3 linked regions of the Callithrix jacchus genome follow. The protein of the gene in region 1 interacts with the protein of each later gene in a pairwise test. Links are inferred from orthologs where the notes say so. Each region holds a gene or a part of one and is shown in the gene's direction. Other genes may lie near its edges.

Region 1 (3,702 bases):
CTAACCAATTATGATGGATCTGATATCCGGCCTTGAGGCTGAATTTCTCCACCCACTCTTAACGGTCCAGGACTACACTACCCAGAATGCAGTGGAAGCAGACAAGCGCAACAAGGCATTAAATAAACTACATTTCCCACTACCTCAAAGACGGACTTCCTCTTCTTGCCCTAGGGAAGTGGCTCCCAGCCAGAGCTCAGGCTTTTGGTAAACACACACATCTGTTCAGGCCTGACCTGTTTTCCTAATCTTCCTGGACCACAGAGAGGCCTAAAGCTGGCCTCAGGTTAAAGTTTGACCCTAGGATGACCTGTGACCCCAGGCTGAGACCCCAGCCTTAGGCTAAGCCTCCTATTCCGGAGTGAGGCAATTGGAGCCCCACTGCCAGATTCCAGGCTAAACTGGACTTTGGGCTGAACCCAGGTGAACTCCCTCCCTGCAGTCGAGCCCCAGCTTCAGCCTGAAACTCTGACACCCATTCGCCCCCCGCCCCCCGCCACATACTGAAGTTTAATCTCTGGTTTAGGCGACCGATCTGGACTAGTCCTGACTCCAGATTGGACCTGAACCCTGGATTGCTAATCCGTCTGGTTAGGCCTCCGACCTCAGTTTGAGACCCAATTCCCACCGTGGTGCTGGCCTGGGCTGAACCCTAACTCCAGTGTGAGTCTCTGACCAGAGTTGAGCTCAGAACTTTGCTAGGCTGAGCCCCCATTTCAGACGAGCCACTGAACTCACTGCATTCAATTGCCCAACTGTGATCTGACGTTTTCTAGCTCAGAAGCCACCAGCAGGTGGGGCCAGGTCCCAGCAGAGCCATCAGTCCCAAAGCTCTCCTCCTGGGTTTCCCCGTTATCTCTCTGTCCTGGGATCTTGGGTGCTCTGTGTAAGGGGAACGTATCCTCAAGGGCCCCCCTGCAAGATCCCCCGCCTTCTCTGTAGCTACAGAGAAAGGGCCAAAGGCTGGAGAGAATGAGGGTGGGAATCCCCGGTGTCTCCTCTTCTCTTTCATCCCAGCGCCTCAAAGGGATTTATAAGGTGCGAACAGACTTCTACGGGAGAGGTGACAAACTTCCCATCCCCTGGGCCCCAGACGTCTGGGGGAGGGGCGGAGTCGGAATCCCAGGGGCAGTACTGAGAATTCAACCAGATTCAATCTCCATGGATGAGACTGGAAAATGGGCAGATGCAGGCGCGGACTGGACCGCAGCCGAGGAAGGGCCTGGGCCTCGCATCACAAGGACAGCCCGTCCTCAGTTTCCCAGCGCAGACTCTGGGGGAGGGAAGGCAGGATGCGGTGAGGGAACTAATGGACCCGGCCTTGGCGGAGGCGCGTCCCGGGCTGGATCGAAGTCCTCATCCGCCCTGTGGCCGGAGGGACCAGACCATTAGTGGGACGAACCTAGGCGCCTGGAGCCGGGCCGGCTCGCAAGAACGGGGTGACCTCAGGATCCCCCTGCAACGGGGTTGAGGAAGGACTTTTTGGGTTTGGAGTTTTAGTGTCTTGGCCCTTTAAGGAATAATTGCGGAGAAAGGGGAAAAGGAGTTGGGAAGACGAGAGGGGTCCCGGGGACTTGGAAAAATGGGTGGGGGGTTCTTTAAGGGGTCGGTCCAGCGGCGTCGAGCGGCACCTTTGCTTTAAAAGGGGGCGGGGGATTCCGTTGAGCCCCGCCTTCTCGGGGCCCCGCCCCTGAAGCGCAGGGCTTTGGCTCCGCGCGGGCGGGGGTGTGGCAGAGCGTGCAGGGGGGCGTGGAAGAGCCTGGGGTAGGCGGGGCCGGGCGGGGTGGGGCGGGGCCGGGCGGGGTGGGGCGGGGCCAGGCGCACCGACCTCGGCAGAGTCTCCCCGGGGAGGGCGGCGGGCGGCGGGCGGCGGGGACCGGGAGCGGTGGTGGCTGCGGCGGCAGCGGCGGCGGGAGCAGCATGGATTGGGGCACTGAGCTGTGGGTAAGTTCAATCGTCCCGCCTCTAAGTTCCCCCTTGCTGGGGTCCAGGCACCCCCGCTTTTGTCCCCAGCGTATCTTAGAGGGGGACTCCGCGCCTTTCCCTTCCACCGACCCTTGGGTCCCCGCCCTCCACCCTTCGCCCTCTCCCGGAGTTTATCTGGGAGTCTCAGCACGTTCAGGGGCGAAAGGCTACTTTCCCGGACCGGCGTGGGGAAACTGAGGCACAGGGTTGAGAGTGAGAAGGGCAGAAGGAATCCTGGGGCGAGGCCGGGGCGGCTGGGAGAGGTCACCTATTTTGGGCGCCCTGGCGAAGCAGGCGGCTTATCTTACGGCCCCTGGGTCCCTGCCCGTCGTCCTCCTGTCCGGCAGGGAGGGGGGAGGGGACCCTCTGGTCACCCTCATCCCCACCCACGTGGGACCTAGAAGTCCTCTCCGCCCTTTTCCTCGCCTTTAATTAACACCTAGGGGCTGGGGACGCTCCTGGAGGGGAAGGGTGATGTTAAGCTCGACTTGACCCCCCTCTCTGGCTTCCCCCTGCTCGCCCAGGCCCAGGGCAGGACTGCCCACTGGTCGCCTCTATCCTCAGCCCTGGAAGCCCCAGAAATTTCCCCCTATCCTAGCCGGACCTCTGACCCCTCCCATTCCTGGGGGCGGTGGAATCCCTGAGTTCTTAGTGCCGCGGGGGTAACCAGACCTCCATCCCCTCCTCCAACTCTGCGATTTCTTTTGGAGGTGTAGTGGGGTCTCTGGGGGAAATTGAGTCACCTACTGGGGGATCCCGGGAGGCAGGGAGATTCAGAGAACCTGGTGCTTGCCCCCTGGCCACTCAGGGGCCCTCAGTTTGCGAGGAACCCTTCCCCTCTGGCCTAGACTCTAGCTGGGCCGGCCGGATTTTCCGGAATCCGGGGGGATTAGGGAAGCCTGAGCTGGGGGAGTGGCCCTGCCCCCTTCCACGCCCCTCTTGGTGGTCTTAAGTCGGAGACCCCCATCTCCCGGCCGGGGTGGCTGGGGCCTGGGCGCTGTTCTCCGGCCCTTCCCGGGAAGGCGAGGGGGTTCCCGCCAGTTTCCTGCCTCCCCACCGCGCCACGCCTGGGCGGCGCCGGGAAGCCACTCCTCCTAGGAGCGCAGAGCCTTGGGGTTCCCTGCGAGTCTACGGTCGGCGGGCTGTGGGGTCCCAAGATCTTGACCCGGGCCCCTCCCCCCTCCTCCCCCACCATGCCTCCTGCCAGGATCAATTCGAGGTGCTCGAGCGCCACACGCAGTGGGGTCTGGACCTGTTGGAGAGATACGTAAAGTTCGTGAAAGAACGCACCGAGGTGGAACAAGCTTACGCCAAGCAACTGCGGTGAGACCCTGGAGTGGACGCTACGGTGGGCGTGCCTGGGGCGAGGGATAGGGTGGGAGGCTGTGGGCTCAGCCCTCCTCCCTCTGTCTCCCCTTAGGAACCTGGTGAAAAAATATCTGCCCAAGAGACCTGCCAAGGATGATCCTGAGTCCAGGTAAGGGTGGAGAGGGGCTGCAGGGCCAGATTTGGTGGGGGAGGACGGAGCGTGGGTCTCCCTTCCCCTCCCGCGGCTGGGACACCCCACCGCTCATCTCACTTCCTCTCTAGAGGTGAGAGCTTGGATGTAAGATACGGGATTATCTGTGTTGGAAGCCTGAGTCCGCTACTATGTAGATGAATTGCCTTGGGTTCTCTGCCTCTATTTTCCTTAACTATTAAATACTGAGGCCCCAGCAGTTACCAAACCATTCACTT
Region 2 (3,746 bases), on another chromosome or scaffold:
ACTGGCATCAGTCTCTTTTATCCCATAGTTAGGGAACTCTTCCCCTTTTCTATGACATTTATGAGCGCATTTGAGATGTGGCTCACGAAGGAAGCCACATTGCTGCCCATATACCCCAAGGAACGGTCTGAGCTGGCGTCAAGGCCACCAAACCGGAAGACATTGCTGTGGTTCATAGAACTGAGCTGGTCCGCTCACAGAAGGGTCCAGTGCAGTCAGATCCAAGCTCAGTCTGGCCAACTTAGCAAGATGCCATCTCTAAAACAAAGGGAAAAACTTACAACCATGTGTTTCTAGTCAGCGCCTGCTCAGAGGCCCACCAAGGGCAGGGCACTGCCTGGAAATGCAGAAGCCTGGCCTGGGGCCTCACTAGGGCCAGTCTCTGGTGACCATGGGCCTCTGCTTGATCAGAAGGGCCTACTGGGTTGGCCCCCTTCCCGTCTGCATTGGTGCCTTTCCCTAGTGCCACATGCAGCCCCAGCCAACCACAAGGGCTCCAAAAGGGCAACCCCCAAATGCCTTTCCCTGACTGTGTGAGCACGTTTTAAGGAAAACACACTTTGCCCTTTATTTTCTTTTCTTTTTTTTTGAGACAGGATCTCACTCTGTTGCCCAGGCTGGAGTGCAGTAACAGTGAATCGCCTCCTTTAACCTTCCGAGTAGTTGAAATTATAGGCGCCCACCCCCACGCCCGGCTAAATTTGTATTTTTAGTAGAGACAAGGTTAACCACGTTGGCCAGGCTGCTCTCGAACTCATGACCTCAAGTAATCCGCTCGCCTTAGCTTCCCAAAGTGCTGAGACTACAGCTCTGAACCTCCGCACCCTGCCAGAAACAGATTTTCATGTGCTGAAATAAACTAGAGGGTGGCAGAGCGACACTGGTGTCGGGGAGCGGGGCGGAGAAGGACTAGCATTCTGCGACCCCGGAACCTTCTCACTCTTTGCCCGGGTCAGGTTAGGCTGTTAGCGTAGGCTCGGCTCGGTTCGGCTCGGCTCGGCTAGACTCGGCTCGGCTAGACTCGGCTCGGCTCGGCTCGGCTCGGCTCGGCTCGGCTCGGCTCGGCTCGGCTCGGCTCGGCCCGGCCCGGCTCGGCCAGGATCTGGAGGGCGGGAGGGCGGTGCCACTGGAAGTGACGCGACGAGGGCGGGGCCGCCGGCCGGGGAGCTTCAGCCTCCGCCGCCGCTGCGGTAGCTGCCGCCGCCGCTTGGGCAGGGAAGCGATGTAGTAGTTGCCAGGCTGTCTCCCGCCCTGCCCGGCCCGAGCCCCGCGGGCCGCCGCCGCCACCGCCGCCATGAAGAAGCAGTTCAACCGCATGAAGCAGCTGGCTAACCAGACAGTGGGCAGGCGAGTGCGCCGGGCCGCACGGGGGTCGCGCCGGGGCTGGGGGCGGAGGGCGGGGGAGGGGGGAACGGCTTCTCCTCTGTCCGGTGGCTCCGGACCTGGCCGCAGCCCAGCCCGCGACTAGCGGGGCCCCGGCCCGGGGGCTGTGCCGTGCTGAGGCCCGAGCTCCGCGCTCCTGGCGGCCCGCTAGTCTCCCCGCGCCGCCGGGCCCCTGAGACCTGCTGGGGCGGGCCGCCGCCACCTCGCAGGGTCCCCTGCCCATTGTCCCTGCCCCGGGAGCATCGGCCTCGGGGAGTAGACCTGGTCCTTCTCCTCCCTTCCCGGGGCCGAGCCAGCCCAGATCGCTGCCCTGGGCTCAACTCCAGTGACTTCTGTCCCTAACGCTGTGCCGAGCACTGTGCGGTGGCGGGCGGCATTCCCAGGCTTTCCGGGTGCTCCCGCTGTTGCGAGTCCTTCTCCTGTAAGTGCATGGCGGCAAAAAATGGCTAGAGGGTCAGGAAAGCCAGTCGGATTTGCTCAGTGAGTTCAGAACGCCCTTTGAGGGAATTCGGAGGTGGTGCTGTCTCAAAACGAGGGCTCCTAGGAACTGGACTGCTGCTGCCAGTTCTTGACATTTAGAAATTTGGAATTGGCAGAAAAGTATTATGGAGACACCTTGTGCCAATTTAAAAAGTCTCACTGTACGTTTGGAAACAAATGCTTCTCTTTCTTTCGTACGGCTGAAGTGCTTGACAAGAAACGTTATTGATTATTCCTTGGCAGGATAGACCAGAGTTGGTAGATCAGGTGTTCAGAACAAGAAATGATTTGTGGTTTTTGAGAGTTTCTGGAAGTGACTGTCATGTGCTGTATTATCTGGGCTAATATTTCAAGGTCTTCCAGGGCAACTGGCTGTACTGTACCAATTTAGTGTTTATTCAGCAAAGAGATATGGAAGTATGCATTTTTTACAGCTCTTTTGTTTTACTTTTCCTTTTATTCCCCCCCAGCGGTTATCTCCTCAAGTTAAAGTTTTTCTTTTTTTTTTTTTTTTTTAACAGTTAAGGGGAGTTTGGTTTGTCTGAAGCACGTGGGACACTTCTTTTTTTCTGAGTATATGAAAATACTTTTACTTCCTCTTGAGTTTTCTAAATTTGCCTTTTACTGTTTCATTTCCTCCATCTTTTTGCTTAGTTTCCTTGTTTTAATTATTTTCGATTCCCTTCCGTATTATTGTGAGAATTAATTTTCTTATCTTCAGGGTTAATCCCTGCCCTTAAAACCCAAACACACCTACTTTTCTGTTATTTGCAGGAAAATTAAAGAAATGATGCTGAGAGGAAGGTAGACGTGTAGTAAAGGGGGCTGATGTTTCAAGGAACAATTTAAAGCACATGATAATTCCTTGCGAGTTTCGTACCCTTGTTAGTGTCCTGAGCAACGTGCATTGTGGAACTAGTGTTTAGTAAGTGCCAAGATAATTTGTCAGATAGTCAGTTTGGCCTCTTTTCACATTGTTCGTGACAGGTAAGGGACATTCACTCTTTTTATACAAGGTTCTGAGATTTAAATCTACCAAGCTATTTAGGGTCTCTACCTCCTGAGTCATCTCAGAGGTTTCTCCCTTCACATGTTTTTTTTTTTTTTTTTTTTTTTTTTGAGATGGGGTCTCTCTTTGTCACCTAGGTTGGGGTGCAGTGGTGCGATCTTGACTCATTGGAGCCTTGACTTCCTTGGGCTCAAACAATCCTCCCACCTCAGCCACCCAAGTAGTTGGGACTCCAGGTGACCATCACCACACCTGCCTCATTTTTGTATTTTTTGTAGAAATGGGGTTTTGCCATGTTGCCTGGTGTTGAACTCCTGGCCTCAAGTCATCTGCCTGCCTTGGCCTCCCAAAGTGCTGGAACTACAAGTGTGAGCCATCTTGCCTGGCCCCTTCACATTTAAAATTCTGGCCATGCTTGCCTACTTTGAGTTTCCACAGGAGGTCTTGCTTTCTTACCTGTTATCATCTACTTGGAACTCCTGGAAGCCTCTCTCACCACACCTTTTCTCTAGGCACCTCCTGCTCATTCTTCAGTCTTCTAGGAAAGGTCTCTTTGCCTCTGGAAGGCCTTCTCTGATGCTTCAGCACAGATTGGATGTCTCTCCTGAGCGTTATCGTAATCCCGGGTAGCACCTGTTTTTCTGTACTGTGACTGCCTTTGTGTGTGTTCTCTATTAGATTAAACGTGTTGAAAGGCCTTGCTGTGTCTCCTTTGATTCCCAGGGTCTGCTGTGGTTTCTATTCCATGGTTAATGTACGGTGGACATTAATTCTGGTATTTGAGTTCTTAGTAGATCACCGTGATGGTACGGGCCCAAGTATGGGAAAATGTGAAGTGGATAGAGTAGATGGTGATTCATGCTAGGGCTGTCAT
Region 3 (2,910 bases), on another chromosome or scaffold:
AAGGCTGCAGTGACCCATGATAGTGCCACTGCACTCCAGCCTGGGTGACAGAAGGAGACCCTGTCTCTAAAAATGAATAGGCCAGGTGCAGTGACTCACGTGCTGTAAGCCCAGCACTTTGGGAGGCCAAGGCAGGTAGATCACCTGAGGTCGGGAGTTTGATACCAGCCTGGCCAACATGGTGAAACCCCATCTCTATTAAAAATACAAAAAATTAGCCAGGCATGGTGGCAAACGCTTGTTAATCCCAGCTACTTGGGAGGCTGAGGCAGGAGAATCGCTTGAACCCAGGAGGCAGAGGTTGCGGTGAGCCAAGATCGCGCCACTGCCCTCCAGCCTGGGCAACAGAGCGAGATTCTGTCTCAAAAAAAAAGAAAAAGAAATAATAAAATTCAAGTGCAAAGTGCAGTGAGGAGTCCTCATTATTCACGTGGCCACAGAGATTCCTTCCACATGCTGATCACATTTGCTTGGTAGAGGCAGCCTAGATCACAGCCATGAGGGAGAAGGTCCTTATTAATGAGTGATGTCTGTCAGGGTAAAGGAACGGGGACATCTGGCATGTGCGTGACACTGGTGGTTTGTGGGCTTTTTGAGGACAAGGACTTAATATGATGGACCCTTGTGTCTCCAGTGCCCAGCACAGGGCCAGACAGAGAGTTGGGGTCACAAACGCTTTGCTAAGTGGATGCGTCTCTTTGTCCCAGGGACCAGGCCCAGCTGGACGCAGCCTCCGTGTCTTCCATCCAGGTGGTGGGCGTAGTTGAGGCGCTGATCCAGAACGCAGACACCCTCTTCCCTGGAGGTGAAGCTCTTGTCTGAGTGGATGCCCTTCAGGGTGCCCTCCCTCTGCCCTGCTCCCTCCCCAGCAGCCCCACAAACTCACCCTAAGGCCGGGAGGAAGTTGTGTCTCTAATCTGAGCCTCAGTTTCCCATTTCTACAATGGGGCTGCACGGGAGCCGGGAAGCTGACTGTGGTCCAGATGGGTTCAGGGGAGGGGAAGGCGGCCCAGCCGGTGGAGGGGAGCCTGGCGCAGTCTCTCAGAGCCATCTCTACTCCTGTCCCCAGACATCGACTTCAACGTGTCAGGCCTCTTCTCAGCCGTCACCCTCCAGGACACGGTCAGTGACAGGCTGACCTCTGATGAGCTTCCACCCAGCACCATGCCCACCTCAGCCACCACCCCAGCTCCGGCTCCAGCTCTGGTTCCAGCCCCAGCCTTGGCCTTAGCGGCTACCAAGGAAAGGTGAGGACTGAGTGGTATGAATGGCTGGCTCCTGTGGCAGTCCCACAGACAGCCTGCCTGAGGCCCCATGTCTCAGAACTAGAAGCTGAATTTTTGGAAATGTAATGATTAGTCTTTTTTTTTTTTTTGAGACAAGGTCTTAGTCTGTTGCCCAGGCTGGAGTGCAGTGGCACAATCTAGGCTCACTGCAACCTCCACCTCCCAGGTTCAAGCGATTCTCCTGCCTCAGCCTCCCTAGTAGCTGGCATTACAGGTACCTGCCAGCATGCCTGGCTAATTTTGTGTTTTTTAGTAGAGACGGGGTTTTACCATGTTGGCCAGGCTGGTCTTGAACTCCTGACCTCAGGTGATCCACCCGCCTTGGCCTCCCAAAGTGCTGGGATTATAGGCATGGGCCCTGCCTGATTAGTATTTTCATCTCAAAGACCAGATCTCCCAGTTTGGAGAGGATGGGTTGAGCCAAGATCATGCCACTGCACTCCAGCCTGGGCAACAGCAAGAATCGTCTCAAAAGAAACGACTGGCCAGCCACAGTGGCTCATGCCTGTAATCCCAGCATGTTGGGAGCCCAAGGCGGGCCTATCATGAGGTCAGGAGTTCCAGACTAGTCTGGCCAACATAGTGAAACCCTGTGTCTACTAAAAATACAAAAAAATTGGTGACAACACAAATTGGGGAAAAAAAAAATACAAAAACTTAGCCAGATGTGGTGGTGCGTGCCTATAATCCCAGCTACCTGGGAGGCTGAGGCAGGAGAATCGCATGAACCCAGGAGGCGGAGGTTGCAGTGAGCCAGGATCGTGCCATTGCGCTCCAGCCTGGGTGACAGTACAAGACTCCTTCCCCCACAGAAAAAGCACGTGGAGGCCCTGAGCTGAGGCAGAGGTCAGGGCCTGTGTCCTACCGCCCAGGCAGGTGGGGCTCCCTCCTAGTCCCTGGAGGAACATGGACTCCATCACAGAGTCACAAAGCAGCCAGGAGCTCAGTGGACGCAGACCCCTACCAATGCCAGAAGCATCTTTGGCAGGGGTGTGTGGCCTGGGGACAGATCCCAGGAGCAGCCACAAGGTGGTAGAGAGCGGGTGCTGGGAGGACCCAGACTCCACCTGGCAGCTGGAGCCTCACCAGGATTCCATGAGGCTTCTGGGAGGTGGCCAGGTCTGCCTCATCCTCTCCTTCCCTCCGCAGGACAGAGTCTGAGGTGCCGCCCAGACCAGCCTCCCCCAAGGTCACCAGGAGCCCCCCGGAGACAGCTACCCAAGTGGAGGACATGGCTCGGAGGAGTGAGTTGGCTGTGGGAGGGGACAGGCAGTCCCAGGTCCTCCTATCTTTTTAGGCAGCCAGGGAGGCAGGAGTCAAGGTGATCAAAAGCCCCGGTTTTGCCACTGGGCGCTCTGAGTTTAGATTTGAGCTCTTTGACTTTGGGCAGGTGAGTTCACCTGTCTGAGCCTCGCCTTCCTCCTCTGTGTAATGGGACAATAACTGCACTTACCTTATGGGGCTGCATGGAGCCTTCAGTGGTGCTGCAGAAAGTGCCTGGTCCTGGCACATAGCTAGTGGCCACTGAAGAGGAGCCGGCGTGAGTACTGGGGCACCGGAGTCCCGTCCCTCCAGAAGCCCAGAGGTCGCACAGCACAGTAGAAGGAGAGGGTCTTCAAAGGAC

What was found.
Region 2: the proteins of TRIP10 (region 1) and ARHGAP17 interact in binary tests that used the Homo sapiens proteins (3 or more experiments, as listed by UniProt). The link is inferred for Callithrix jacchus from reciprocal best matches to the Homo sapiens genes TRIP10 and ARHGAP17.
Region 3: the proteins of TRIP10 (region 1) and SH3BP1 interact in binary tests that used the Homo sapiens proteins (3 or more experiments, as listed by UniProt). The two-hybrid records come from large-scale screens. The link is inferred for Callithrix jacchus from reciprocal best matches to the Homo sapiens genes TRIP10 and SH3BP1.

What each region holds. Positions count from the first base shown.
Region 1 is NC_133523.1:6,329,443-6,333,144, forward strand, and holds the start of TRIP10 (cdc42-interacting protein 4), read left to right. Parts: upstream 1-821; 5' UTR 822-972; coding exon 973-1,038; intron 1,039-1,834; exon of another isoform or gene 1,835-1,920; coding exon of another isoform or gene 1,921-1,944; intron 1,945-3,172; coding exon 3,173-3,288; intron 3,289-3,385; coding exon 3,386-3,442; intron 3,443-3,702. UniProt on the Homo sapiens protein: Required for translocation of GLUT4 to the plasma membrane in response to insulin signaling. Required to coordinate membrane tubulation with reorganization of the actin cytoskeleton during endocytosis.
Region 2 is NC_133513.1:25,595,298-25,599,043, reverse strand, and holds the start of ARHGAP17 (rho GTPase-activating protein 17), read left to right. Parts: upstream 1-1,161; 5' UTR 1,162-1,294; coding exon 1,295-1,347; intron 1,348-3,746. UniProt on the Homo sapiens protein: Rho GTPase-activating protein involved in the maintenance of tight junction by regulating the activity of CDC42, thereby playing a central role in apical polarity of epithelial cells.
Region 3 is NC_133502.1:208,649,158-208,652,067, forward strand, and holds part of SH3BP1 (SH3 domain-binding protein 1), read left to right. Parts: intron 1-707; coding exon 708-805; intron 806-1,069; coding exon 1,070-1,247; intron 1,248-2,435; coding exon 2,436-2,530; intron 2,531-2,910. UniProt on the Homo sapiens protein: GTPase activating protein (GAP) which specifically converts GTP-bound Rho-type GTPases including RAC1 and CDC42 in their inactive GDP-bound form.